Lepisosteus oculatus: one gene and its partners. The protein of the gene in region 1 interacts with the protein of each later gene in a pairwise test. Links are inferred from orthologs where the notes say so. Each region holds a gene or a part of one and is shown in the gene's direction. Other genes may lie near its edges.

The links.
Region 2: the proteins of eda (region 1) and leptin receptor overlapping transcript-like 1 interact in binary tests that used the Homo sapiens proteins (3 or more experiments, as listed by UniProt). The two-hybrid records come from large-scale screens. The link is inferred for Lepisosteus oculatus from reciprocal best matches to the Homo sapiens genes EDA and LEPROTL1.
Region 3: the proteins of eda (region 1) and sec22a interact in binary tests that used the Homo sapiens proteins (3 or more experiments, as listed by UniProt). The two-hybrid records come from large-scale screens. The link is inferred for Lepisosteus oculatus from reciprocal best matches to the Homo sapiens genes EDA and SEC22A.
Region 4: the proteins of eda (region 1) and epithelial membrane protein 3 interact in binary tests that used the Homo sapiens proteins (3 or more experiments, as listed by UniProt). The two-hybrid records come from large-scale screens. The link is inferred for Lepisosteus oculatus from reciprocal best matches to the Homo sapiens genes EDA and EMP3.

Annotation. Positions count from the first base shown.
Region 1 is NC_090703.1:44,535,300-44,542,826, forward strand, and holds the start of eda (ectodysplasin-A), read left to right. Parts: upstream 1-4,507; 5' UTR 4,508-4,662; coding exon 4,663-4,974; intron 4,975-7,527. UniProt on the Homo sapiens protein: Cytokine which is involved in epithelial-mesenchymal signaling during morphogenesis of ectodermal organs. Functions as a ligand activating the DEATH-domain containing receptors EDAR and EDA2R. May also play a role in cell adhesion.
Region 2 is NC_090696.1:9,252,497-9,259,741, reverse strand, and holds the start of leptin receptor overlapping transcript-like 1, read left to right. Parts: upstream 1-4,239; 5' UTR 4,240-4,349; coding exon 4,350-4,365; intron 4,366-7,121; coding exon 7,122-7,197; intron 7,198-7,245. Other genes in the region: saraf (store-operated calcium entry-associated regulatory factor), read right to left, coding at 318-465, 973-1,402, 2,516-2,694, 3,254-3,323. UniProt on the Homo sapiens protein: Negatively regulates growth hormone (GH) receptor cell surface expression in liver. May play a role in liver resistance to GH during periods of reduced nutrient availability.
Region 3 is NC_090707.1:4,672,274-4,679,926, forward strand, and holds the start of sec22a (vesicle-trafficking protein SEC22a), read left to right. Parts: upstream 1-4,649; 5' UTR 4,650-4,766; intron 4,767-4,918; exon of another isoform or gene 4,919-4,986; intron 4,987-5,260; exon of another isoform or gene 5,261-5,479; intron 5,480-7,653. UniProt on the Homo sapiens protein: May be involved in vesicle transport between the ER and the Golgi complex.
Region 4 is NC_090720.1:12,369,094-12,376,111, reverse strand, and holds the start of epithelial membrane protein 3, read left to right. Parts: upstream 1-4,008; 5' UTR 4,009-4,136; intron 4,137-7,018. UniProt on the Homo sapiens protein: Probably involved in cell proliferation and cell-cell interactions.

The DNA of each region.
Region 1 (7,527 bases):
ATGAAGAGTCATTTTACTGCCCTACACACTTGTGAATATTACTTTTTGTGTGTAAGGTGATTGCACCCATTCACTGTAATGGTATTTGCATTTATTTAAAAAGGAGTTCCATAGAATATGTGCAACTCACCCAATGATGATAATGTTCTTCTTTGTCTTCTTGTGCCTGTATTTTTAGTAGCATGAACTAACACCTGTATTGACTAAGCTAACTTTATTCTATTCATTCTGCTAATGATTCCAGCAACTGAGTTCCTATTTTAAAACTATTATATCTCTGTTTATGTAGGATTAATATCTGTTACCTTGGGCCTAAAAATATAAAGTGTTGAATCTAATGATTTCTGAGCTTTTTTGTGTTTTCATGTTTGTAAGAGAGGGAAATAGTAGATTTTACATGCGTGGGTGCACGCCAATTATACTAAACATGCCCAGCAAGATAGAACCATTTTAAAATAGTGTCCAATGTAATGAACAGCAAGACTCAATTTAAACATTTCTGGTGAGAAAACAATTGATTTTCCAATGACCAAAGCTTTAGCCTAGCAGCTATCCGGTTGCAATCTTTTTATTGTTGAATGGGATAAAGAGGTATTTCTTAACATTCCCACCTCACAGCACTGGGTCCCTGGGTTCCATTCCTGGGATACTGTGTGGAGTTTGTTTTTGTGAATTCCCTTCAGGTGCTCCAGTTTCCTCCCATAGTCCAAAGGCATAATGGTAGGTTAATTGGCTTATGGGAAAACTGGCCCTGGTGTGCATGTGAGTGCATGTCTCTGCGTGCCCTATGATGAACAGTTTTATTTAATCATACAGTATATTATATGGGTGTTTCAGTTATATAATGGAGTCAATGCATTATAATTTTTTTTTGCTGTCACCTCAACATGAGGTCTTAAATAGTGCTTCTCTTCTGGTTTGGGAAAAATGATAGAATGAAGCAATATTTCATACATCAGTATGTATTAAACACTTCAGATTTATTGATTTATGATTGTCATGTATTCTTAAGAACAGCCTCAACATTACAGCTTCGGCAGTCAGGATGCAACTAGGAATGAGATGCTACTGTCACTGGTCTAAAGCATAAATTCATATATTAAGAATAAGAGAGAGTAATAATACTTTATACAGTCACTGTATACAGAAATACAGTAGACTTTATACAATAACACCACATATTACAACTTAACTACCGCACTCTACAGCTTAACTTTGAGATAACAACTCAAAATACTTGTTAATAATGGTATAATAATTGTTGCTATGGACAGTCACTTTAAGTATAATGACATAAACTCATGTCATTCCTTATTTTGAACTGAAAATGAAACTGATGATTAGTCAGTTTAACATGCAAAACTAACAAACAAAAGGAAACAGAAAAAGATCAGTAACAATAATATAACACTGGTATGTTGTAATATTTATGATTACCAGGCCATTTTGGCAGATAGTTTTGCAACTGATTTTAACTATGGACAAGATCCAGAGATACTTTTTGTTTGTTTTTAAACAGGAAACATCAAAAACGGAACATTAAAATGGAATAACCAAAGATTTAATTTAGAACTTAATATACTGTAACAGGTTTGTTGCTTTTGAAACTGTAGGGATTGTCTTAAAAGCAAGGACCTTAAGTCTTTAACTGAATTGAGCAATACTTAAATGCATTTAAAAGTTCTTTTAAGCAGATAGTCACGCAATGAACAGATTAGATCGTTCATACCACTATTGCCCATTATACTGTATGTAGGTGAATTGTCATATATTGTACATGTATAAAACAACAAACAAATAAATAAATGCTAACTATACTGTACATGTATATTGCATATTCCTTTTTTTAAGTCAGTCTTGGCTGCTTGAATGTTTATTGGGATACATATGTAAGAATTATGTTGTTATGCCTTTTATTTTAATGTTTTAAAGATGTAAATTACCATATGTACTTAAGAGTGCATCTTCTTCCACTGTGTTGGTGTGGGTCCAGATCTTTTCTGAAAGCTTGAAAGCTGTTATATTACAACACAGAAATACACTCTCTCCAACTTCAAAAAGAAGTTTAATGCAGCACATGCAAACTGTATTTCAGACCTTATAAAATGTAGGTTGGCAAATTAATGTCTAGCATACAATCCCAGCAAATGTTTTTTGAAGAGAGCCATGATTGTGGGGGACTAGAGTTTTACTCAGGATTTATCTCTTCTGATTGCACCACATCAAGGTTTTCCTAGTTGTTAACAAAGTTATTATGGACAAACCCTCTGGCTTTTCCTTTGTGGTGTAAAGCATTTAAACTGAGGTACAGGTGCTGGAATTATATACTAAGTATTGAATGCATGTTTGAAATATTTAACATGGGAATAATTAGGCTTAGACATTCCTTGTAACTCAAAGGTTGCCAAAGATTCCCATACTTCCATCAGGCTAACTAGTAGTACATTGAGCATGTTAAAATAAGGTTAGAGCTGCACAGACCTAATTATTTGAATGAAGATCTACTATTTATTCTGTGCATTCAAACTGTGCATATATTATTTAGGGAAATCCATTCTAGTAACATAAATTAAGTTTTACTAAAGTTTAGCTTTTTAAGGATTGCATATCAAATCCATACTAACAGTAAAGAAAGAGATCCAAAGATACAAGAAGTTTAGGAGCATTCAGAATGGAAAACATTTTTACATTGAATTGTAGGAAGCTGACTAGAACTACCTCTCTTAGCATGTTGTTAAACCTGATCCATGGTATCCTTTAAGAAATGGCATCTTGGAATTCTTGGATCATTACGCTACTAGCAACCAAGAATGGCAGCATGGCTTCCTTTCATTTGTAACTATTCTTTTGTAACTTCAGTGCTTGGGAGAACAATTGCTTGGTAATGTACTAGATTCGCAAAAAAAAGTATTGGGAATTATTATTATCGTTTGTTCCATTTCCTTTGATAGAATAATTAAATTTAAGGAATTTTAAAAGAAAGTTAAGAAGTCTTACTGTTCTCAAAAGAATTGATCTTTAATAGACCTTTTTTAAATTGCTTTCAAGTGAAATACACTAAAAGATGACAAGGAAAATGCATGTTTTCCAAGCATTTGCGTGAAGTCTCACACTAGTAGATGTGTCATCTCCAGATGTTTAGTCTATTTTGAGATTTTTTTATACCATCAGACAGCCTCTGCGCTCCTTAATTAAAATGCATGTGTCATATGTTCTTGCTTTTATTTTATAAAGTACTTGCAAAGTCTTTTGGTGATAATTTTGGTGCATAATTACTAACTTGTACAAGTTTCAAACACAGCAAGTATTAAAGCTAAAGAAAAAGACCCTACTTAATCTTTGAGCTCAGTGAAGGGAAAACACACAAAAAGTTTCCTGTTGTGTAAAAATAAATTTTAATTATAACAGTATAAATCATTTCAGTCATGTATAGATCTGGATTTAGATGTGAAGAAGCATTCCAATAACGTTAATTAAAGTTTTGAGATGGAAAGTAAGTCAACTTTGATCATTTAATTTTGATCAGCAAATCAAATAAATGTGATCTGAAGAACATATAAGTTACTAAATGTGAACATTTAAAAAAAGCAGCTATGTTTTGTAACAGGGAGCCATGTACAGTAGGAGTAACTAGGAATATGTTACATGAGTAGGTGATATTCTTTAATAAACAGCTGTATAATATGGATCTCCGTGTAAAGGATTTTCATGCTTTCTCCTACAGAGTACTCAGTAATAAACAGTAGTCAACTAAAGTTTTTTAAGCTTTCATAAAAGTTGCCAACGTTATGATGTAGGGTATATTAATGCATAATTTAAAGGTAAGACAGTAAGAGATTAATCAAAATTTTAATTCCCTAGCTTTCTCAAAATAATAGCCACATTTGAACTACAGCGTAAATTTAGAAGAATTATTACACGCCCCCCTCACTTTGCTTTATTTATTGTAATTGTAATATGAGATATATTCTATAAACGGATTACACTTGATGGAGAACTTTCAAAATACAACTGCGATTTGAAATTTTCCAGAGCACGCTTACTGTTTTGTCAGGTTTATAAAATGTATCTTTTTTTATATATATAAAATTACGTTTGTATATCAAATCGCCACGTGCATTTCATCACCGCCCAATAACTCTTTGCAGCAAACGTGCTTGATTCACAATAGCAAGTGCTTCCTGCTTTGCCTGAACCTTTCTTTGCTTTTCCCGAGGTCAGCACTTCAGCAGTTCTCTGCTTTAGACACCATGTCAGTTAACAAATTGCGTGAGTAACAATATGAACTTCATGGGCAAAGTTCTTCGAGTAATCCATAATGAATGACGTGACCTTTTGTATACCCTTTCATAAGCAGCAACTACTCCACATGAAAAGAAAGCATATGAAAGAAGGAAGAGAGGAGGGAAAATGGGTTGTGTTCTGCCTCCGTTACGTATCCAGTCCCCAATCAGAAACGCTAAAGGCGGATCCTAAAACCGGATTGTTACTAGTGATTGACGCGGTTTGCTAGTTTGGTTACTTATTCTGATCAAGGAAAAAGATCAGAGGAGTGGTTTTCATGTGGGCTTCTGCTTCAAAGTTACTGATCAGTAGTGGATCAGACCCCAGAAAGCAGCTGATTATGCTGAAATAGCACTACCTGTTTCTATTTACAAAAAAATGGCATCTAAAGGTTTAACAGAAAATGTTGCAAACTTAGAGGAGAAAGCACTGAAACCTGAACTTCCTACAACCTGCATGTGCAGGAAACAATGTAACAACTGTAAGATTTTCCTGGGATTCTTCGTATTGTCCCTCTCGTTGCATTTGATCACACTTTTCTGCTATCTGGATCTCAGATCTGAAGTGAAACGCGAGCTTTCACAGAAAAACAGAGATGAAATTGTGACGCCGGGTGCAACTGACTTAAATGAACCGCTTTCCCCTGAATACCATCTTTTGGACATCAGCTACCCTACAATGGACCAAGAGGTAATCGCAATAACACTATTTGTTTATAAACCGGCATCTGTACGATGAAAGCGATAAAGCTGTATCTAAAATAAGAGCGTCTAGAAATCGTAAGAAGAACATTGTGGTCCACCGCAGTTTATTTTTCTTCAACTAGAGCGTCAGTCAAGCATTTTATTTAAGGATCAGTTTGATCGTTTGTAACGACTGTGATTGGTTGCGTAAAACTATATCCAGTCACATTTGGTTTTTTTTAAAAAAAAGGGGATGCCGGTTTTGTTAATATATCACATTTATGAAATGCACAGATTATTTAATAGAAATTAATCGCTTTGAAGCACAAATGTTTTCTGTGAAGAGTAGGTTTATAACAGCTTCCGTTCTGTTAAACCGCGATCTCTCTTCATCCTGCTAGGTAAAAGGTAAGTTAAAATTCTTTGCCGAAGGGCTAAGGTTTCGAAATCGACAATGATATGGCGCTCCAACAATTAGATTTAAAAGTAACAAAGATAAGACAAGTACTGTATTTTAGTTTTTTTTTACTTTTTTTTGATTCGAGAAATTAAAACGTCTTTCTGCGTCCACCATACCATTCTGTGGTTAAAGTTACTCCTCAACTTGTGCCAATGTGAAATGATGTATTGAGAACAGTAGGATTTGTGAATTTAGAATACAATACCGGTACACATGTTCCTGAAATGCAAATTTATACATTTGGAACTGGAACAGCTGCTGTTATACGGTGGAGGGGGGAAAAAGAGAAAACAGAAGTTTGTAGACTTAACTGGCCTTTTACACATGAGCTTTTTATGACTGAACGTTTTTTACATAGTTTTGAGGGGTTTGTTCCTAGAACCCTCATATACTGCTGCATGCACTGATGAAGTTTACCCTACCTGGTTCAGATATTACTGAAATAGTGGCTAACTTTAGGTTACTTCGGTATCCCCTTCGCCATGTGAAGAGCTATAGTTGAACTAATGAAATAAAAAAAAATATGTATCCAAGCTCAACATGAAAGTTTCAGAAACAGTATGTAATGTTCTACAACAGTGCTGCACTACAGAGATGATCCCATTGGTATACGTACCTTCCCGCTCTGGAAATGTTTAGCTCTCAAATGAGACAAGTCAGATAACAGGTACTGTTTGCTTTGACGGAGAGTTACTGTGTCAGTGATGTATTAGCTGTTGAAGATTTATAGTTGGTGCCAGATTTCATGCAAAAGAGCAAGTCTATGTATCCCATGCCTTTAAAAGATTTGCCCATTTACAGTAGAGCACTTTTAACTACAGCACATGAATAGCATAGCTTACTTGTTGACTTTGTATTAAAGGCTAATGTTAAGTTACTGGGGACTACATTTATGAATGTGTCATATGCAATACCTTTGTCACGCCCTTGAATATATTGTACCCTGAAGCTACAGTGGTTAACATTTAGAGGAGATTAACCTGTGCTTAAATTGTGAAAAATTAGAGAAGTAAGTAAGCAGTGAGTAGTGAGAAGTATTTGATTTGGAACCTCTAGAAAAACTAAATGAAGCACTACTAAAATAGAAAATATGGCAAGTAGACGAGCACATAAACTGGCTTAAGCAAATCCTTTTTTTAGACATTTGATTTACTGCTAACATGTGTATCTGATTTTCTTTAGTGTAACTTTCTATGTGAAAAAATTGGGGTCATAAAACAGGTGTTTTGTGAGTGCCTGTCCACAGGAAGATTTCAGATTTACAATATGTGCTAATTGCAATACAATTAATCTTGCATTTCTGAGTGAACAATCAATCTTTCAGAAATACAAGACATGCAAGTACATCATTTGTGCATTTTACTTGCATATTTTCCTGTGATATTGCTAATTAACACAGCTTTTTGCAGCTGCTTTCATAGGAGATTAAAATTGTATTTGTAAGACGTTGACTGATACCAATGGTAGCATCAAGAAACATTTGCAGTAGTAAATCTTTTTCACACTATGGGGTTCTCTTGATCTACCATGAACAGATGACTCTGAAGCTGCAATAAATCCATCACATATATGTGCAAGAGAGTGTGTAAAATTTAAATCTCTTTTTCCCATTACTCATATTTGACAGGTGAAAATGCAGCCATCCCAGAGCACAAAACTCACTTGCACATATAAAAGCTTATTATTAAGTGAGCTTTATAGCTATAAACCACAAAGTCTGGGAGTACTGCATAGATATAAGTGTATGAAGAGCATCTCCAGCTGTTTTAAATAATGTTTGCTAAATACTGTGATGTGTGCTGAGCTCTTTAAAGCAGATGACAGTCGAATAATAAGGCTTGGTCCTTGCTGAGAACAGTTCAAGTGACTTGAACATACTTGTTCAGACTGGCAGCCACAGATGAACTTTAGATGCCTGGAGAGATTCAAGCATGCCATTTGCATATGGCACACAGAAATTCCACTCTATCCCAAAAGATTAACAAGGTACTTCAGTATTTACTTGTTTGGCATATTATAATCTCTTGTTTTAAAATAAAAATAAAGCATTCCAGCTGTTACTGGAATTCTAACATAAATTTCTCTGTTAGATTAAAATAC
Region 2 (7,245 bases), on another chromosome or scaffold:
ACAACCTGTCATTTATTCTAAAGACTCATATACAACTACGTTCCGTAATTGAGTACACGTTTTTTGTGTGCGTTTTATACGTTTGTTTCTACGTTTTCGGGCCATGACCAGACACGGTTGTTTTCAAGCTCGAGGATTAATTGTTTGAAAACAAAATGTAGGTGCGACAGAACATCGCACCTAAATGGCTCATATTTAGTCCTAGATTTATACAGTACCTCGTTGCTCCCTATGATGACTAAAATTAACACTGATACATCTACAGTATAAGAACTAGGCTTCTTGAAAATAGTTCCATTAAAACATTAAAAACTCACCTCTGACTTCCAAATAAATATCCTAATACACCTCCTGTGCCCATTCCAGTCCAAAATCCAGGCCCCGAAGCAGGCTTTTGGTGAGGTCTTGTGAAAGTGTTTTTAAATCCATAACTATCTCTGGCACTCTCATAACCTGGTGACTCTCCTAAAAAAAGGAGAAAAAATCAGGCTTGTTATTGGAGGGATTTTAAATAAACCAACATTTTTATAAAAGCAACATACAAGAAAAGTACAATGAACTGAAGATTTCATTGAGCAACATTCCAATTAGATTTTACTGACCAATATATTGCTCCAATTAATGTTTATCATACAATGCTTAATATTTAAATGAACATATATATCAAACAAATACATAACAAGCAGAAAATTCAGGAAAAAAACATTTTAAAAATTAAACTTTAAATCCTAACCCATATACGTTTCCTGCATTGAGATCCATCGACATTTTATACAACTCTGAACATTTCCTTCCTTTTCCAAATTTACACTATACCTCAGTACTGCTTTGACCTTGTTGAGAATAACCAGGAAACCTCTAGTGGGAAAAATAATATTAAACATAAGCCTTGGAAAATTTCCACGTGCAAGATTCCTCACAAGTTACAAAGGAAAATATTTGTTATCCAGGAGAAGTGAACTCCTCAGGTACCTGTGTAGTATGACTTAAATCCCGGAGGAGATGGGCCCATTGTGTTACCATCAGTGAAGTGGCCATCGGTGTTGGCGTTGGAAAAGTCTGCATCAGGGAAACGCTGGTGTCCTTGTCCGTGTGGCCCACACAAGAACATCTTATATACACCATAGGCCAAGAGCAACAAAACAGCAACCACCATTAATCCACTGACATCACCTCCAGAGCCCTGATAATTCACATTGCTTGAGGAGTCCTGAAAAAACCCAGATCCAAAGCTCCTACTGTTCCTTCCCTTCTGCTTTCCTTCTTCAGTCAGTTCCAGAGTGTACTCCAGCCCACAGGAACCCTTCAGCACATAAGGGTCATCTGGATAATTATATCCCTCACAGCTCACTTCTATTTTTCCAAATCTATAAGAGTAATCCATGTCGGTTTTACACTCCCACTGTAGAATAAAAATGACACGAAGAGAAATAATTCAAACACAACACAAAATCATTTTGATAGTCTAGCTCCAATGAAAACATATAACATTTGTTTTGTACATTCTTCTAGTGGATGCTGCACATTGGTGGTGGTGGAGGAGATCCCCATTACGTGTAAAGCGCTTTGAGTGGAGTGTCCAGAAAAGCGCTATACAAGTGTAAGCAATTATTACTATTATTATTATTCTGCTGGTACACAAATGTGCTTGTAGAAGATCATAAGCCTGTTCAACCAAAGGCTTATGAGCAAAATGAAAAGCCCTACAGGGATGCTCTTAAGGTAGCAAGGTCCTCCTTCTGTCTCAGACTTGTTGAGAGATGTCCTTGATACTGCACATTATGGCATCCTAATGGATTACATGGAGATTATCCTGGGGTTACAGGTACTTTCCTTTATTGGTTTGACTTTTTATTTATGATTTATTTATTTAATGACATGATATTTAATGATCAGGAACCAATTTGTCAATCTTGATCATTTTAAATCTGATGTTGTTCCAGGTACTAAGGGATCTGTGTTGAGAACTTTACTATTTTGTAGTTGCACCTTCCCACTTGGTCAAATAATCAGCCATCATGAACTCGGGTTTCACTGTTGTGCTGAGGACACTCAGATTTACTTGTAGACTGAAGAAATCACATACAGTACTATTGTTGTGGTTTCTGTACTTTAGATATATATACACAGAGCAATGTATCTATCTTAAGCTGCCAAGACAGAGGTTATGCTCATATCCGCATCACAAAGTTGGACTCTAGAATGTTGATGGTGTTGAAATGAATCCCATGACAAAAAGCAGTTAAGACCCTTAATCTGTATGATGCTGAAAGATAGATACCATAATTTCATCATGATAATATGAAATAGTATGGCATCTAGTAATTTACAAAACCGGCTTCAGTATATCCAGAATTATCCTCATTTACATAAGAATATAATGACTCCTACTCACACAAAAGGCTCTGAAAATTCTAAAGACTTATTACATGAGTGTAGTCTAGCTCTACATTCCTACAAAGATGATGATCATCTTTGAATTGTCTTGATATGTAAGTAGCCAAGTTACACATACCTGAACATCAAAGCCATCCCATCCTTTGTTATGACACTGAACTACTTCAGGAATGAAAGAGCCACAACCAGCAGTTCCTCCAATGCACTGTAACTGTGGAACAGGGCTGGTCCTGCGAGAATTGGTGTACTGTCCTTTGTACAGAGTAATCACCTGAAGCTCTCGAAGCAAAACACTCCCTGCAAACATACCAGATACACTTACAGTATGGCTTTGAAACACAAGCTTGTCAAGAACACATTAATACATTTTACTGACAAATTTTGAAAAATCATCCATTAAGACCCCCATAATCCCGATTTTCTACCTTCTGGAAACGTAGTCAAAATCATCAAAGAAACAGACAATAGGAGGCACTTTGTAACCGAAAGGGTTTTGAGTGTATGAACCTATCCAGCCATGTTGTTGTTTTGAAGCTGATATCCTGGCTTCGTTCAAGAAATATCTGGATGAGATCCTCGGATCAATTAAGCACAAACAGGAACTGTTGTATATTGTAAGGATCTGGTGCTATAATACTTGTTAACAGAGTCATACAAAACTCTAATAACTATCAAACTCGTCAATTTAAGTGCAGATAAACAAGTGATAAACCCATCACTTGTTATAGATTAAACGCACTGAGGTAGCTCTATGGAATTAAAACAATATAGAACAGTTACAGTTTCCGTTTCAAAACAATGTGACGTAGCCTGCCTGCAAAAGATCTGCAAATAACAGCCACAGATTTCAACTTACCTCCATCGTTCCAACTCTCAGTTCGCCCTGTATAAATAAACAGCACAAAAATGGCGACGAATATCTTCATAATTGCTTTCTGTACAAAAAAAAACAACAACACAAAATGAGAACCTAAAATATCGAACAATGTCGTTTCCGGGGTATTTCACCTATCGAAAGCAATATTACAACTATTTTAAAAAGTAGACCAAGTTGTTTTTATATAGAGACTATATCACGTCTCAAGTATATGTACATCTATATGTCAAATCTTCCTTGCGATACCACTATGACTATCACCTATTAAGAGAAGAAAAACTGCTATGATTTCAATACTGTGATCATTATTGCGATTGTTTTCATCATGCAATACAATGTCTGTCAGTTTAAGGCTTTTCTATTGGCTTGTTCCAATCACGCGGAATAAATACGATGGCGTGAGAGCTTTTCAAGACGACCATTTTGTTGAGGTCAAAGTATATTATACTAGCAGGCTATTATTAAAGATTGTAGTTCTTGGTTATTCGAAATAATAACCATAATAACCAATTATGTTCCTATCACTCATAATAAACAAACACTAGTTATATCCCCCACTCTTTTATTAGGCTTCTTATTCCGAAAACCGAGATGGACACAACACTAATGGGAAATATTGCGACCCCTAAAACAATGGATAAAAAACTGTCTCTAGATGTTTTACTATTGCTGTAATAATCGCAGTTAGTGCAGGCGCTGTCGTTTCGATTGGGTCTTTATACTTGAAGTGTCTGAGCAAATATCTCCTAGGGAAAAATAATACTTTCCACGTTACTTTTGACGTGATTTGTATCTGTGCAGATGATACAGATAGCCAGATCTTGCAACATTGCACAAAAAAAAACATTTCAGAAAGAATTGCTTCTTTTTAAATACCCGATTTTCTACATTCCGTTAGATAATTGCAAAGTCTCTCGAAAATAATCTTAACTGCGCAAGGAGTGCTGCACCGTTAGGCGCAAGGAACCATCCGTCTGTCTGGCGTCGAGCATGCGCGCCGGGTGAGATTGCTGGGAATCGAAAGTGTGTAAGGTTGAGGATCAGCTGTTGTTGAAAGATTTCATGTTGAGCTGAAATGGCTGGGATTAAAGGTGAGCAGTGACTCGTTGAATCTTATCTTCTGATACAGTAATATAAGCAGTCCCAACAAAACAGCGTATAGATAGAAAGATTATGACAGCTGTCTGCTTGCTTGGCAACATATCCTCTTCGGTTCGTTCATGGTTTTTTCTACAGGCCAACACCTTATTAAATGTGATTTCAGTCTTTATAGCTTATAATACCTGGAAGTCTCAAAAATTATTGATATATCAGTCTATATTAATGGATGTTTTAATGCTTTTTTCTTTTGTTATTAAAATAGCCGTGTGCTTTTCAGACAAAATGATACAACCGTTTGTCGTTGCATGATCAACAAAACAATGTATACAGCTATCATACAAAGGCACAACGTATCGGTATATTGAACTCCGTAGTTTTTCACAGTTTACACCGCACATGGGTAAAGGATTTAAAACCGCTAATAACTTTAGTGGATTGTATATTTATCATTTAAGCCTGTTCCGGTTAATAAAAAAAACTCGTCAGGTTTACGGAATTAGATATTTTCGTTACCGTGTCATTATAATACACTTAGAATTGAAACTGCTTTAATTCCAGTTTACAATTAATATCGCATTTTTATTTTTAACAATCAAATTTGCTGCAACAAGAGGAACACGGTACTAAAATAATACTTAAACAGAGAAAATTTGACGATGTTTTTAATCGTTTGAAAACTATAGAAACAAGCTACTCAAGAGGCCACCCTTCGACAGTACAAGGGATCTTTGTGTGATTGATCACATGGAGATCATGGAACTGAGTACTTTGTAGATGTGAACTAGCTGCTTAATACATTTTGTAGTATAATGTGGGTTTATTGAATTAATGAGATGAGGTATTAATCTAACCCTCAAAACGATCCTCACTGTGGATGGAGTATGGGACTGTGCTAATGGCTGAATGCACTATTTTCACACCCGTGTTAGATCTTGGTTAGATTGTCATTGCAAATCATAATTTAAATTGCCTGCTTAAAGTATTATTATGAGTTAAGTGATCAGTTTATAATTTTGTGCAATTAATATTTTCTCTGTTCTTACATTCTGTAATCTCGAAGAAAATGTTAGATTGCTCCTTCACCATGATGACAAATGATAAAGCATCCACTGCAACACCTGAACTTTTTATTTTGTAGAAGTTTGCTGTTATAATCGTTTATTTAATGTACTCCAATACATGGAATTGCTTGGATATTCAAAGAAGCTTTATGTGTCAGGAATGATTTTCCCTGGTATCCTTATAATTGTCCACACATTTTGTATTGCGTGTATTGCATTTTGTTCTTAATCAAGTTATTTATACACTGTTGTCACACCTTTCAAGTTTCTTTGCTTAGTTTCCATCACAGATTCTTTCTAAGAATTTTTAGAATGTACAGTACCAGTCAAAAGTTTGAGTACACTTGCTTGAAACCAGGTTTTTCATGATTATCTGTGCTTTAAACTGGATAAACATGTCTATAGACACTTAATATTTAATTACATGATATGTTTACTTATAATCTTAAGTGAAAATGAGCACTCAAAGCAAGCAGATTTCAGTCCGAAGCCCAGGTTAGTTTAAAGTCAGAAATGTGTATAACATGGTTTTAGAAAACTAAAAGAAGTTTAAAACTGTATTTGTCTTTGTTAGATGTTCTCACACTTAATTAGCATGTTACCTCATTTACCTTTTGTCACCAATTATTGGTAAACACGTGAGGGTCCATGATTACTATAAATATAGGGGGCATAGGCAAAAGTTTGTAATTCCTGAATGAACATGGCAAAATTTGCTCAGCAATCAAGGAAAAAAGACAGTCTATAATTACTTTAAGAAATGAAGGTCAATCTTTAAGACAAATTGCAAGAATTTTGCAAGTGTCTGTAACTGCTGTGGCCAAGACTGTCAAATGATATGAAGAAACTGGCACTCATGAGAACTGAAAAGGTTCAGGTAGGCTAAAGGTGACCTCAGAATCACAGAATATGTTCATTAGAGTCACAAGTCTGTGAAACTGGCGACTAATTGCGTGAAGCTGGCCTACCAGGAAGAATTGCTGCGACTAAACCATTGTTAAGAGTGCAGAATAAGAGGAAGAGACCTGTCTGGGCCAAAAATCACAGAAACTTCACACAACCTCCTCTGAACAGTTGATGTTGAACCGTCTGTACTTCTAGTTGCATTTATTGAAAATGAAAAATTAACATTTTCAGTGCAGTTCACTTAAGATTATAAGTACACATATCCAGTAATGAAATATTAGGTGTTTATAGACAAGTTTATACAATTTAAAGCACAGATAATCATGAAAAACCTGGTTTCAAGGAGGTGTAGTCAAACTTTTGACTGGTACTGTACTTTATACTGTAGCTTTATTTTACTTACTCCTGCCAGAAAAATCACAGTGACTCATTTGAACCTTTACTAGTACTAACTTAATTTTGTTCCAGTCAGCTGATGTTCTGTAGGTTCTTTAAAATTATACAAGAGCTAAATATATGTGGAAAGTTTTAACCTATGAAGAGAGTAGAATCAAGTTCTTAATAATTTTGTAATTTAGCAAGCTGTAAGTCATACTGCACAGTAGCTCATGTAGGATAAATAGCAAGTTATGATTTGCACAACTGGACTGAAAATAGTGTTCCGAGTCATAAGGAGATTTTGCAGAATAACAATGCCAATCTGACAAATGCCAGCGAATCAGGTTATGGTGATTTGGTCAATATTTTTTTCAGATGTTATTTTTTTTTTGCTTTCTCAGCTCTTATTAGCCTGTCCTTTGGAGGAGCCATTGGACTTATGTTTCTTATGCTTGGATGTGCTCTTCCTGTGTACAAGTGAGTGTTGTTCCCTTACACCGAATTTTCTGCTTGACAAAGACTGAC
Region 3 (7,653 bases), on another chromosome or scaffold:
TGTGTAACAGTTTGTCTGACCCTTCCCTGTGGCATGAACTGGTATAATGTGTGAGGCAATTCATCCGATCAGATCTGTGCACATCCGAGAGTTGTCAAGAAACCCACTTCTTACATCCATCTCATATTTAACCTCCTAGAAAGCCATTCACATGTGCATGCAGTACAGCAGATATTTACAGTGTTAATATTGTAAGGTATTGTTTTTGAAATCTGCTCAAATGTATCCTGGAATTGCTTGCTACCTAACAACACTCAGTGTTTGTAGATCTGGCAATTAGACAGTGGTATTTTCTGCAGGATAATGATTACTGAGCAAAGACAAGAGAGAGAGATTTTAACATTAATTGATCACTCTAACCTGCAGCGTGATTCTGGGGTCAGTTGCGCTTGTACTTTAAATTCCAATGTGCTGCGTAAAACTCTCAAATGAACTGTGACACCTATACCGATAAAAATGATTAATTTAACTTACCAATCTGCACATCAACAAATAAATGGGTTTTGTTTACCCTCACAGTCACTCTGCTTGATCAAATTGTCTACGTTTCTGTTAAGAAAAATTGGGCGATTGCTTTGGTTGTTTCTGTTAGTGCTCAGAGTGTTGCTAAAAAGGAGATGGTTATCACTGTGGTATAACAGTGTTTAGAGCAGAATACTAAAGCTTGTGCAATATGCATGTTTAGTGAATCTACTATGCTCAGTTTTCTTGCAATCTGAGTAAGGGAATTCAATCAAATAAAATGAAAAAATAAATGTTTTGTGAAACAGTTTTTATTTTTTTTAAATAAGAATAAACAGTATAATTGAAAAACAGAAACCACCTCACAAAAACAATTTGCCAATGTAACAAGTCAAATAAAAAAAATTCTGGCCTTTATAGAGGTTATCAAACAAAAATTAAAACATTTTCTCTTATGTTTCTCAAGATCATTACTAAATTACTGGATATCCATTGCAGAAAGATTCATATAAAGTTTTATTTCTATAGAGCACGACACTTTCAGGCTGTCATTTAAAGTCATTATTTCTGGTACAACCTGGAAAATATAGTTCTGCACAATATCAGACTTAAATGGTTCTTTGACCCGGCCCAACAGTTTTTCCAAGAAATGAAATATTCAGGGGTTCATAAGATTTCAGCTCCTTCCGTAGAGACAGAAGAGTGATCTGTTGCATTAAAATGCCTTTTGTACTTCTTGTCTCTAAGTAATGTCAGGCATAGATATTGACCTTTACCAAACTGCATCAGCTTATTTTGAAAAGTTTAGGCAGCAGGGAAAATACATTTTATCTACTATATGACTGCAGTTTGCTTGCCACCTTTCCAAGTAAGGATTTATGATGACTTGAATGGCACGCCTGGTTAATTCCCAGAGTATGGTGCATTTGCGTGGTTCAGAAATATTTTTGGTTCAAGAGCCTCAAGGTTACCCTCATAATTCCAGACTGTTTTATGGAGCGTGTCCTGGGAGATGACAGCAATTTCTTTAAAAAAAAACACGACCTTTCCTGACAGATTTTATGGTGCATCAGAAACACTTCAGGAAGACTTTTTTTAACATTTACGATCAAATCGCAGTTCATCTTGAACTACTAAAATTATAATAGTCGTCATGGGAATAAACAAGAGGTAAATGCGTATGCAGAAATAATGAATATGAATACAGTAAAGATTCAATCCAGTTAGTGACTGAATATAGTTAGTAACAAGATAAGGACACAATGAATGATAATATAGCATCGGCTTAACTTGACAGAATTTCATCAAGAACATTTCCTTGATTCATAGTTATTTTGTCAGAACACCACAGAGAAACATTAACTGTTATCACCACCAGCATGCAAAGCACCTCATTATCTGAGGAAGGAGATCTCCAGGAACTCATTAGTACCATTCTGGGACAGGAAATTCTAAGATTAACCAAATATAGAATAAAAGTGATCTTCTGTAAAACTTCAGTGTAAGTCTAGATCTTCAATATTTTATACTAAAAGTCACCCAAAGAGACTCTTTCAAATACAAGGCTTTGAAAAAGACCCATTTGTCTTGTTTCCTCTTGATGAAGTTCAGACCAACTGAATTTGATATCCAATTGCCAGAGTAAATAACACCCTTTAGACGGGTTAATTCAAGTTCAGTAAAGGAGAACCAGGAGATGAGAGAAACCCCTTACAGCCTGTGCTGTTGGATGCCTCCAGTAACTCTCTCAGAAATGTTCACGCATCTTGTCCCTTACAGTCATAATATTTTCTTATGCTTCATTGGTTGTGTACATTGCAGTTTCTTTTTAAAAAGGCTCATCTGCATCGATCATACTACTTACTCCAACCAGAATCCTATTGAAAAGGAATATTGAAAAATGCAAATCATTGTGTGAAAATGATTTAGCAAGTGAAATAGAGGCTGCAGGATTCAGTTCATCCAGAGATAACTAGTAAATTGGAAACTGAGTTTCACAAGACCCCTATCAAAGCATTATTTCATCATTAAAAATCAGTCATCTCATTAATAATTAAGTTGCTCCTGAAGGGGAAACCAAAAATATATACAGTCTTTTAGTACGCCTCTAATAATGAGAGCAGAATTTAACTTTTGCCTCTGGGTTCACAAGGGTTCTGTACTTTGGTATAATTAATATTTTTCAGCTGGATTGTCTACTTTTAGTAGCAAAACATATTCATAATTTGTTTTCATAAACAAAGTTTAAAATTGTATGATGTGCTCTAAACTTGTTTGAGGCCTTCTCTAAACTTCAGAATGGTAAGAAATCACTTGCACTAATTAAAATGAATCTGGAACTGCACATTCTGGAAGCCAGTTTCTGCTTTCTATGCACTAAGGTCGCCTGCTTGCCTGAGGGTGAGAAATTCAAGTGGTTAATGAGATAATGTAATAGTTTATTGCCAACTTTCTTATTCTTTCTTTTCAATAGTGGTTACCCATTGCATTCTCACGTTACTCGTTACTACTACTCTATAGCAGTCTAAAACTTTATTGAAAACCGCCTGCAGCTCTAGAGTATTAACACATACTCTGCTAGGTTCTGTTTAAGGCACTTCCTTTGATCAATATGCAGCTCAGCTACTATTACATATGGTTAGATTGTAGTTTCCCCTGACTTCACAATTTATTTTTATAAAGAGAGAAGGTAATACCCTACCTTGACTTTCTTTTGTGTCACACCTGGTGGTAAAACAGTAATGACTGTTCCATGCTGCTCCTATTAACAAAGTCACCATCTTCTGTCAGTCACTGACCCTGTAGCTCATTGTGATATTCCAGTGCCCACTGCCCTATGAAGGAAGACCATGTTATTCCCTTCTTGAGAGTGAAATGACAAGTACTGTATCTTGGCTTATAATGAAAATACCTTTGCAGTCTCCCTGCGACAGAAGCCACATCCTCAATGGTCGGTCAAGTGTGTCATACTCAACTCCTGGACTTCAGATCTCAATTATGGGTTTGGGTTGGTGTGCTTAAACATTTTAAAACATGACCAGATACATTGCTTAAAGGTGTGAAAGAGTTGTTTGTAGAATGGTGAATTGTATTCCAGTTAATCAAAATATTGGACTGAACAAACAGGGTTGTGGAATGGACTGGAAGTCTGAAGAGGAGTCTGACAGCCTGTAGTTAATAAAGCTCAGTGTTTTTGTAACAGACAAGCAGGTCACAAACCTACGTCCTGCTGGGAGACTGTACCCTAGGGCACATCAAACTAGCACTGGGGTCAGTACTCAGAAAGGACCTAGAACAGGCTCAGGGTTATTCTTTCCACTTCATCCTGTAGCTCTGCCTTCTTCCTGTCTCTTGCAGCCTTTCTTATTTATGGCTGCCTTCACCCTGCCTCATGTCAGAATAACGGGCTCTGCGTCTCCGATATATGCAGTTATCACTGCTGCTCCCAAGAAGAATATCTCTCTGTTAGCATCATTTCCTTTTTCTCTCAATCCGTCCACGTGGGGAACCGTCTTTAGGCCTTTGGACTTGTAACTGTAGGGCCGTGGGTTCAAATCCCAGCTGGAACCCTGCTGCTGTGGCCTCCGACCTCAGACTGCTCCAGTAAAACACCCAGCTGTATAAATGGGCATCCATGAAAGCTGCTTTCAATAAAGTTGTTAGCCAAATACGTCAGTGACTGTATCTTGCCCATGATCCCCTCTGTGTCCCCTGTGAATCTCAAATAACCTGCAGGAATGATCACTGGGATATTTTTTTCTGAGAGGTGACTGCAAGGCTGCACAGCAATCCTTTAAGACACTCTTGGGAGAAAAAAAATCACTAGTAAACTGCAACCAACCCTTCAGCTCCCGTGTAATAATAGCAGCTTAGCTACACATTCCTGTACAAAGGAACGATGTCCAGGACATTGAGTTAAATTATTTGTTAAACCGATTCATCTCGGGTTTGTAGACTTTGTTAGTGTTTTTTTATGCTCTATTACTTGATTTCAGTTGATGCAAATATTTAATATTTATCACTTAGGCCTACTTACTCATCTAAAAAAAAAAAAAAAAAAAACGAGCAAACATCAGTAGCGCTGATTTTACTAACCTGTGCAGGTGAAGCACACAGGCGCGAGGCGCAGCGTGAGCCGCGGCCGGGCACCCACAATGCAACGCGAAGGGGCCACGTAAACATATTCGCCCCGCCGTTGAATGAGGAAGGCGAACATGGATGAAATGTGACTCGGGGAGAAAAAAAAAAAGAATTTCGCGAAAAGGCTTTTCATCAGCAGCCGTTTAACGCATGGTCCGTTTCAGGTCAGCATACTGATGAAATTCACTCACGCTTTTGCACGGTTTGTCGCTCGTGGGCCTGCTTCTTTGCGCGGAGTTTAATAAACCCGGCGGCGAGAAAAGCCTCTTGATTTTAGAGATCTCTTTCCGAGCGCTGTGTTTCTGCCAGGGAACTGAAAAAAATAACATTTAAGGTCTATCTCTTTTTCATCAGATGGCCGTTCCCAGGAATGACTGCACTGCAGTAAGTGGGTATAGAGGGAGGCGGGTTCGGGGATTGAGGGAGACGAGTGCATTTGATCTGTTAATGTTACGCTCGTTACTAAAGCTATTACAGAAATGCATTCATGTTTTTTTTTTAATTTATGGAATTCGGTTCCCTTATGTCTTGCTGCCGAGAGTCGATTTTATTTTAGAAAGGCGATACCGTTACAGCTGCAGGCTACGTCCAGTCCAGCTGTTTGTCAGCGGGGATCTGAGGTTTGTCCTGTGACTCGGTATGCCTGTCGACTGCCTTCGTCAGGTAAACCTGCGTATCGTAAGGCGTTGCTGTGGCGAATTATGCCCATGATGCAAAATTATAAATGTCGGTAAAAGAGGACGATGGGTGTAAAAACGGATTTGTTACAGTAAATTAATCTTCTTGCAACTCAGCCATCCAGGCGTCGCCCCTAATGATCGCCTTCACATCAATAACGCGGAGAAGTGGTTTTGTGTTAGTTCATGCTGTCCCTATGGTAAGCGTTACAAGCAGTCTTGAGTTTTCAGAAATGAAATGTTAAGGTGTTAAGGCCATTTTTTTTCACACCCCCAACCACAGCTTCCGTGAGCATTAGATGAAACCCTTATTTCCCCGTTTTCATTTCGCCTGTAAAGGCGTGCGGAGTGCCCGGCGATGTCCGCGCCTGCCCTGCCTGTCGAGAGCTGTGGTCGCGCACACTCGTTCTGCAGACGTTGGCACGGCTGTTTGATGAGCCCTTTCACGACGCACCGCTGAAGAGCTCCCCACAAAACTCAGCCTTGCGGTTTTATTTCATCCGTGCCTGGCGTTGCGGTTCCGCGGGCTCCACGGCCGCCGGCTCACGGTGGTGTGTTCTCGGTGTGGCCGTGCTAGGACGTTACCTGCAGGGCGCCGGGACTCTCTTTCAGAAGCTCTCCAGGGTTACAGATTTTCCCAGGGCCCCGATCAGACTAACGATCCGCAGCGAAGACATCTTCTTGATGAAGTGCAGTATTCCATCAGGATAATTGCGGAAATAAGCAATACATTGAACAGACTGCTATATTGCCGGGGTCATCATTCCTTGATGTCCTACCCTGAAAGTATTTGTGTCTTACAGTCATTTTACAGTCAGTCCTGGTTTCTCAACCAAGCGTATTGATTGTGGAGAACAGCTTGACAAGCAGGCCGGTAATGTCCATAGGACATAGGAAATGAGATGCAAGAAAAGTGGGTAGGCATTTACTTACAGTACTGTCTTATCCTGTCTGTGCCACACAGGTTTTCTTTTATTCTTAGGTTGCAGCGTGATTGGCAGGCATTTAAGGAATGCTTTATTCTCATTCCCGCCAGGCACTTTGTGATCCCTTTTTTCCCCGATGCTTGCAGTTTTGTGTTTGGCAAGTGCTCCCGGGAGGACGAGTTAACCTCTGTTCATCCTCGCGGTGCTTGGAGATATTTGTTTTGAAGGGGAAGCTTGGATTCAGTTGCCTTTTGACTGGAGTGGGATTGTCTTAAATGTCTTCTTAATTCGTTGTCAGGTGCTTTCCATTCTGCAATCAGAAATCAAGTGGCAATAGCTTTTAATTAACAGATGTGTTGGAGCCAACGTCCTGCGTGTGTGGGGTTGTATTACTGTTAGTGGGAGGGCAAACCTTGAGAAAAAGTCTCATGGCTGTTATCTGTTTGTCAGGGGTTCGATTATTTCCAGAAGGTCGCCACAATATGAATGACCCTTTTTTAGCAACAAAATATATTTTTTTATGAATGGCATGTGGATTAATTATAATCCACCTTTCATTATGTAAAACAAATCAAAATAAATTCCTGCACGTACAAGAATAAAAACAGACATACACGTGTGCAGATAATGGTGTATTTGTTGGACTGTATCTGAAGGAGCGAGGAGTTCCTGAGAAGAGGGCTGGAGAGCAGGTGTTTTATACCTGCTGGTATCAAAACGGTTTGTTTCGTGTCTGCCTTCACCCCGCGACGAGTTTCATTCTGGGGGGTTATAGACTGGGAAACAAAAATGGACTTAAGAGTCAATGGGAAGACCACAAGGGTGCAGAAATCCAAGCGTGAATGTGTAAAACTCTTTCTTCCCTCGGCAGGTCGGGTTTCTTTTAATGTCATCCCACAGGGTGGTGGTTAGTCTAATGGGTTCGGGCTCCTCCAGCTGCCCTGCATTTTACAGGGTTGTTCAGCTCGGAAGGTGCTGTTCCAACCCCCTCTCCAAGCTCTGACTTGTAATAATGTCACAGGCTCTCGTTTCTTTTTTTTTTTTTGCAAAACGGTATTCTAGGTTCGGTGCAGACTCTTAGAATGAAAAATAACCGCTGGCGTTTGTATATCACTTTTCTTCCCGAAAGATATTTTGTGCTTGTGCGTTGTACTTTAATCTTGTAATGTGAATGTTCATGTATTGCTAGGCTTGATTGAATCTGCTTCATTGAAATGTACTTTCTTGGCTAGTCGGGAGACAGTTATTCTTATTATATTGGAAGTGTGTCTTCAAATCCATTTAGCCTACAGTTAGGTTAACAGCAGCAAAGGTTATTGCAGCCTTCTTGATATTGAATAAAGTGTATAGCCTGTGCTTTTACTTCAGTCCGTCGTTTTCTCTTTTTCTTACGTAAAGGCAAATCATGTTTGAACCTAAAAAACAGGATGAAGAAATAAAATGTTTGC
Region 4 (7,018 bases), on another chromosome or scaffold:
TTCCCAGTAAGCAAAGGGGGCAAAGCAGGCTACACCCTGGATGGGACACCAGTATATCACCAGTACTGTATATCACAGGGCACACACACTCTCACACCAGGCCCGATTTTCCTATAAATCTATTAACTTTCCAGTATGTCTTTGGACTGTGGGAGAAAACCCACACAAACACAGGGTGAGCGAACAAACTCCACACAGATTATGGTAAGACATGTCTGCAAAAACAAAGCTTTTCACTGAGAACCTAAAGGCAAGAATTCTGTGTTAATGGTTGAATAATCGCAGTGCTGTGATGATTAGTGCGGCTGCCCTACAGTTTGTCCGGGGATGATTCTGGACTGGGGAGCCTTCTGTGCGGAGTTCTCCCCACAGTCCTGTGGAATTTCGACAGCTGCTTTGGTTTCCAAAGACGCCCTGGATAAGTTAGTCACTGCCCCTGAATCGTCCCTCTGTCTTTGCCTGCAGTCTGTCCAGAGTGCGATCCCACCTTGTACTCAGTGCCTCTGTGTTATTGTGACTGTTATGACCTTAAAAAATACGTCTAGGGTCCCACCAAAAGTCGCAACACAAAAGAATGCCTGAGAGATCGGACTTCCCCGAGAAAACAAATCAACTTTATGTTTCCAAAAAAAACCCCAGGGAGGCAGAGGTGCACATCTGTATTCCAACTGGGAGAGGAAAGACCAAAAGGAAAACAAAACCCCAACAAACTAACTGACTAAAAAAACAACAACTAGATAAGCTAGAACTGGAAAAAAAGGTGGTTGTGCTTAACAATGCGGTCGTACCAAAAAAAAAAGTCTTCCGCGTCATACCCATATCTACACTAATAACCTACCCAAACCAAAAGCAAAAACAGAAAAGCACACAACATGTCTTTCCCCCATCCCTAAAACACTCCACTCAACTAACCTCATTCACCATCCCAGATGGGTCTTCCCTTTTGCAGCCTCATTTTCCCCTTTGAAATGTTTCTGCCTCATTTGCTTAATATAGTAATTGGCAGCGCCTGGAGAAAAAGGAGAAAACAATAAGGGGGAAAAAAACTCTCCAACTGAGGACCGCAACAGTGACCATGAACAAGAATAACTAGCTTTATGATAATGAATGAAGCATTGTTCTTTACAATAGTGGACCATCTCTTTACTGTAATCCATCTAGTCAGCTGACGAAAAGCTTTGGTTCATGAAGGGAGCTAGGTGACATTTGCACCCCAAGAAGTCTCCCACCTTCGGGTGGTGCGGTGGCTCTGTGGCTAAGGATCTGCACCTGTGGCTGGAAGGTTCCCGGTTTGTATCCTGTGGCTGGCAGAGGAATCCTCCTTTGTTGGGCCCCTGAGCAAGGCCCTTAACCCCAACTGCTCCAGGGGCGCTGTATAAATGGCTGACCCTGCGCTCTGACCCCAAGCTTCTCTCTCCCTGTCTGTGTGTCTCATAGAGACAAATTCCTAATGCAAGAAATTATATATGGCCAATAAAGTGATCTTATCTTACACCTGGAGTCGGCCTTCTACAGTACATTGCAGGGTGAAATTAATCTGTACTTGGTCCTTACAGTCTCTAGTGAAGGCTTGTCTAATATTTCTTCTCTCCCTACCTTGAAGGTACAATATTTTTTCTATATTCTTTTTAAAAAACACCTAGCCCCACTGAGGTCATCCACTTCTTTCTGAAATTCACTCGCTGTTGGAAACATCCACCACACGTAAGATTTTGCTCAGTAGGACTGAATTATTTTTTATTTGCTGCTGATCTTTCTTTCTCCTTGTGATAACTGAAGACTGACTGAGCATAAAACAGCGACTGAGGTGGAACTGGCCAGAGCTACTGGCCACGCATGCACCAAAATGACAACTTTGTTACCACTATGTGATGCTATAGGTGTCCCTTCTGTCACAACAGTCATCAGATGGAAATCTTTATTCTCATAAGTTGTTTCTGTTTTGAAAGTGTTTTAAGTTTAATTTAGGATTATCAAACCTTTCTTTTCTTAGCTATTAAGGCAGCAATAGGCACTAGTTTTTTAATGCTCTGTCGTACTATGTTTGATACTTTTAACTATAATCGATTTTCAACTTTTCATCTTTTTGAGAAAACATGGGCTGTTTTCAGGTTCTCATTAAAGCAGGGGAAGAGACTGGCACCACGAGAAATCTTAAAACTGCCAAGTTTACAGAAAGACAGAGTCAGTTTTTTCAGAGGGTGAGTCAGTTTTTCATTCTCTAAATCCTTTTCCTATTAAAGTTATTATTTTTGTAATCCTAAATTGCCTGGCAATTCATATTCGTACAACTGCATTTTATATTATATATATTTTTATACATTTCATTTTTACAGTTTTCCAAAGACAAAGACAGACAAAAAATTGAAAAATTATTTCTTTAAAGTGTTCCAATTGCTTTCCTTACGATTTCTGCTGCACTGTGGGTGATGTGCTCAACATTAAAAGTATTATGAAAACAGACAGGATGAATGGAAATCAAGGTTAACAAAATTTAAAAAAGAATACCTTGTAAAGCAAAGGCTCCTGTTTGATGCAAAAGCTGGGCCTAACAGACCAGATATCACCAGTTCCTACCTGTGCTTATTATAGGCCATCACTCTGTGACCTTGACTCTCAAACAGTGCTCAAGTAGTCAGATTCTGCAGGAGCTGGCCAGGGTGTCCTCAGATTTGCACTGCTAGAGACAGTCCTGCAACTGGTCGGGTAATGTCGAGTTTTCAGTGTTATTGGTGATATCTTGCCTTTAATGCCACAGGTTGTTTGCGGATACTGTGTACTCAAGAATATTCTGAAAAGCTTTTGTTTTTCATCACCAAAATTGTATTCATTTAGAAATTTTGCTGCTGGAAAGAGGTTAGTGAGGACCTTGAGGTCCATGTGGGTCCTAATGCCCCAGTATAGTGACAGGGACACTATACTGTAAACAGGCGCCGTCCTTCGGATGAGACGTAAAACCAAGGTCCTAACTCTCCGTGGTCATTAAGAATCCCAGGGCGTTTCTCGAAAAGAGTAGGGGTGTAACCCCAGCATCCTGGCCAAATTTCCCATTGGCCTTTACCAATCATGGCCTCCTAATAATCTCCATCTCTGAACTGGCTCCAACACTCTGTTCTCCTCCCCACTGAGAGCTGGTGTGTGGGGAGCATTCTGGGACACTATGGCTGCTGTCGCATCATCCAGGTGGGGCTGCACACTGGTGGTGGTTGAGGGGAGTCCTCATTATCTGTAAAGCGCTTTGAGCGCAGTGTCCAGAAAACCGCTACGTAAGTGTAAACAATTATTTTATTTTTTTTCTGCGATGTGTGAAAGACACACCGGCCCTCCTAGCAACAATAACTGTCCTATAAGACACTGTAGACCGTCAGACAGGCCTCTCCATGAAGGCACAGCCTGACGAGAGGGTTTTTCAGTAGGGCTCTCCCCCACGTGGCACAGGGGCGTTGGCGGAAATGTCATTTTGGTAACTCCAGATGGGGAGAGTATAATTTAGGAACATAAAAAAAATGATGGAGGAGGAGGAGGGTGTGGGTGGGGCATAAAAAGCAAGAGAAAATGTAGAAACCTGACAGAAATAATGCACAACAAAACCAGGGAGCCCAGCAATGGTGCAGGAAGAGAGAAAAACTAGACTTTCTCTTTTCTCCTTTTCTGCTCTCCCTTCTTTTCCAGAGGCCTGGGCCGCGTCTCCACACAGCCTGCTCTTCAGGAACGCAGTTGCCCAGCAGATGTTTCTCCTCTGCTGGCTGGAAGCTGAGCGAGCTGGGCTGCTACGAATGTTTATGTGACCTTTTCATGTGGTGGCAGACCTTGGGCGGGTCTAGTTGAGTCATGCTGCAGTTTTACATTTGGACCTGGCTGAGGAACTCAGAGAGTGTGTGTGTGTGTGTTGGTGGGGGGAAGGCAGAGAGGGCTTCTGGAGAAAGGAAATGGGCGTTGAAAACGTCCTTCTAAAAAACACTCCTCAGTTTTCTCCTCCCTTTTCTCTGGAAGTAGAGGGGGTGGGAGAAAAAAGGGGGTGGGGGAGTGATGGGTAAGAGAAGGATAAGAGGGTGGAGAGAGGAGTTTTCTTCATACAACTCTGACTCCTCATTCACCGTACAGTACTTGTTGTCCTGGGAACTGCAGTTGAAAAGGTGAGGTGTTGTTATTCTTAAATGTGAAAGGCTTTCTGTAGCTGTTGAACGCTGGTTAACTGTAACTTAGCCCCTTTTTCTGGCTGATGGCTGTTCTCTGTATGTCCATTAAGTTTAGAAACTAGTTAACGTAGTTCACCATGTTGTTCACTTTCACAGAACTTTCCCTCTCCGTTTTTATTAAGGAAAAGGAACTTTCATTTGTGTTTATTCCTGGTAATGTTACTGTGTGCAAGGCTGAAAGCAGTCAGCTGCTTGTGTTAGGGATCTCTCCTACCTTGCTGTTTGTTGAATATGGCTGTTCTTTTCAGGCTGTTGGGATGAGACGACATCTCAGGCAGTGTGTGTCCTTCAGACTGCTGTCCTGTATGTGCCTGGTCTTGTTGAATGGCAGCAATGTGAGAAAGATGAATGGAGAAATTGTGTATCTGTGTGATGCTCTGTCCCCAAATCAGGTGCCTCAGGATTAAATCTGCAGTTATTGAATGTGGAAGTCTTCTTCATGCATGCGTCTTCAAAACTCAGGGAAAGTGGAGACTGTAGGGATTTTCAAGGTCTGTAATTTAGGAAGAAGTCAGTAATATTATCGATTGAATAGGAGAAATAACCCCACAAAGCCTAGTTTTAGGAGATCACATCAATGGTCATTTACATCTTCATCATAATCATCAACATCATCCTCATTTCCAGTCATTATCAATCCACTTCTAGATGAAGGTATCTTCCAGGATTTTCATTTCCAACATTTTTTATCAATTTTTTCCTTTCTGATTTTTAATTTCTTCGAATGACTCCAGAGCCTCTGTCATGAGTCTGCATTCTGTACTTGCTCGTGGAAGAATTATCGTGTGTATTGTAGTATGTGTGTTTCTGGGTGTGTACGTGTGTGGCTGAGGGATCTCTTAAAACTAGCAAGGTTGTTAGAAGGTTTTTGTGCCTTCACCCCATTTCACAAGACAACAGGGGATCTGCTAGTGAATTTTTTCCTGAATGTCTGAACTCCTGTGCATTGTATCATTTTGATATACCTAAGTGGTAACACTAGGTATCATTCAAAAAATTAACAAATCCCCTGTGTTTATCACTTGGTGCTGTACATAACTGAGGAAAACCTCTGCAGGAGTCATAGGTCTGGAATGTGACATATCTAACTATGAAATTTTAGGTTTTGTGATGGGGGATGTACAGTATGCGTCTACTTCACATATATACTGCAAACAGGTTTAGTTAACCTACAGTACGGAATAGTACCAACAGCTTCTGAAAGGACAGTAGGTTTTGTGGAGAACTCCATTCAGTCTAATTTTGAAAATCATTTTATTCTTAGGAAGGGAATCCCAGTCCTGGTTATAATGGATCACTGTGTCTGCTGGTGTTAATTCCAGTTGACCTCTTTAATTACTGGGGATAATTGCTCACTTTAAAGGAACAAGTAAGGGTTTATTCTATGGTGAAAAGAGAAGAAAAGAAACACACAGTTTCAACTGTGGAGCCTTCTTCGGGAGTGTGAAGAAGAAGGCTCCACACCCGAAACGTTGTGTTCCTTTTCTTCTCTTTTCAGCATAGAATAAACCCTTACTTGTTTCTTTGCAGCCTACGCAAGCTGACACAGTTACCTAGTTCAACTTCATTTAACAGATGTGTGTTAAACCTGTTAAACTTTTGGAAAATCATATCGCTTATAGCTTCTCAACATGCAGGTCTTTCAGTGGTCATTTTTCTACTTGCTTCGAAACGATTGCTCCTGGAATTAATTCTGACTAAAGATAATCAATTTGTGATGAACAGACATACTTAAGTTGGGAATGACAATTTTGACAGTCCCAAAATCCACGTTTGTTTCTCCACTTCTCCAGTAGTCCAACTGGATACATTTCAGGTAACTTGCCTGAATCAGGGGAAATCTGATCATCAGAAACCAGCCCAATTAGGGTTGATGGTGTTTACATATTCCCAGTCTCATTCACTGTAATTGATTAATTACATTCACAAGCCTAACATTGTAGGTACTGAACACAATTATAGAGGTAAGCTTCAGAAACTGCAATCATTTAACCTGCGAATACCATCTCAACTAGAACAAAAAGCTGAAAATACAGTGGTACCCCAGGAGCAAAATTAGGATCCCCTGCTTAAGTGGGTCACGGTGAGGGGGACAGGGCATAAGGTGTGTCTGGCACCCTGGATGGACACCAGTCCATTGCAAATCATTTGCTCCATTGCAGGTGAGCAAATCAGAAACGCCACTGGAAAATCATGTCTTTGAACTGTGAGAGAAACAGGGATACCCACAAATACCCCAGGAATACCTCATAAAACCTGAGGAGAACATGCAAACTCCACACAGACAGAGCCAGATTTAAACCCAGATCTCAGGAGCTATGAAGCAACTCTTCCGGACCATCTGTTGTGCGACAGTCATTTAGTTAAACCTGCACAATAGACAGAACCGGGATCACATTCAAACCAGCTTGTTGCAACCAATGTTTTTCTTGGACATGATCAAATCACTTTCAATAAGCACTTATCCGAATCAGGGTCACGATGTCCCAGAGTCTATCCCAGAAGCTCTGGGTGCATAGGGGAAAACACCCTGGACAGGATGCAGTCTATTGTAGGGCAGACAGACAAATACAGCAGACTCACACCAGGGCCAAATTCCCCAGTGTCATGGTTATCATCCCTCCTCTAGAGGGTGCTCCTAGCTTTTTGCTATTGATTTTAGTTTTAGTACTCCCAGCTGTGTCTATCCCCTTCTGCGTTATATAAGCCCTGCGTCTCTGCAAGATGGACGTCCGAAAGCCCGTCCAGCACCAGGCTTGGAGATAGCCTGAGGGCTTAGGCTTTCATCCCGACATCCTGAGCTCTGTGCCTGGGGCTCA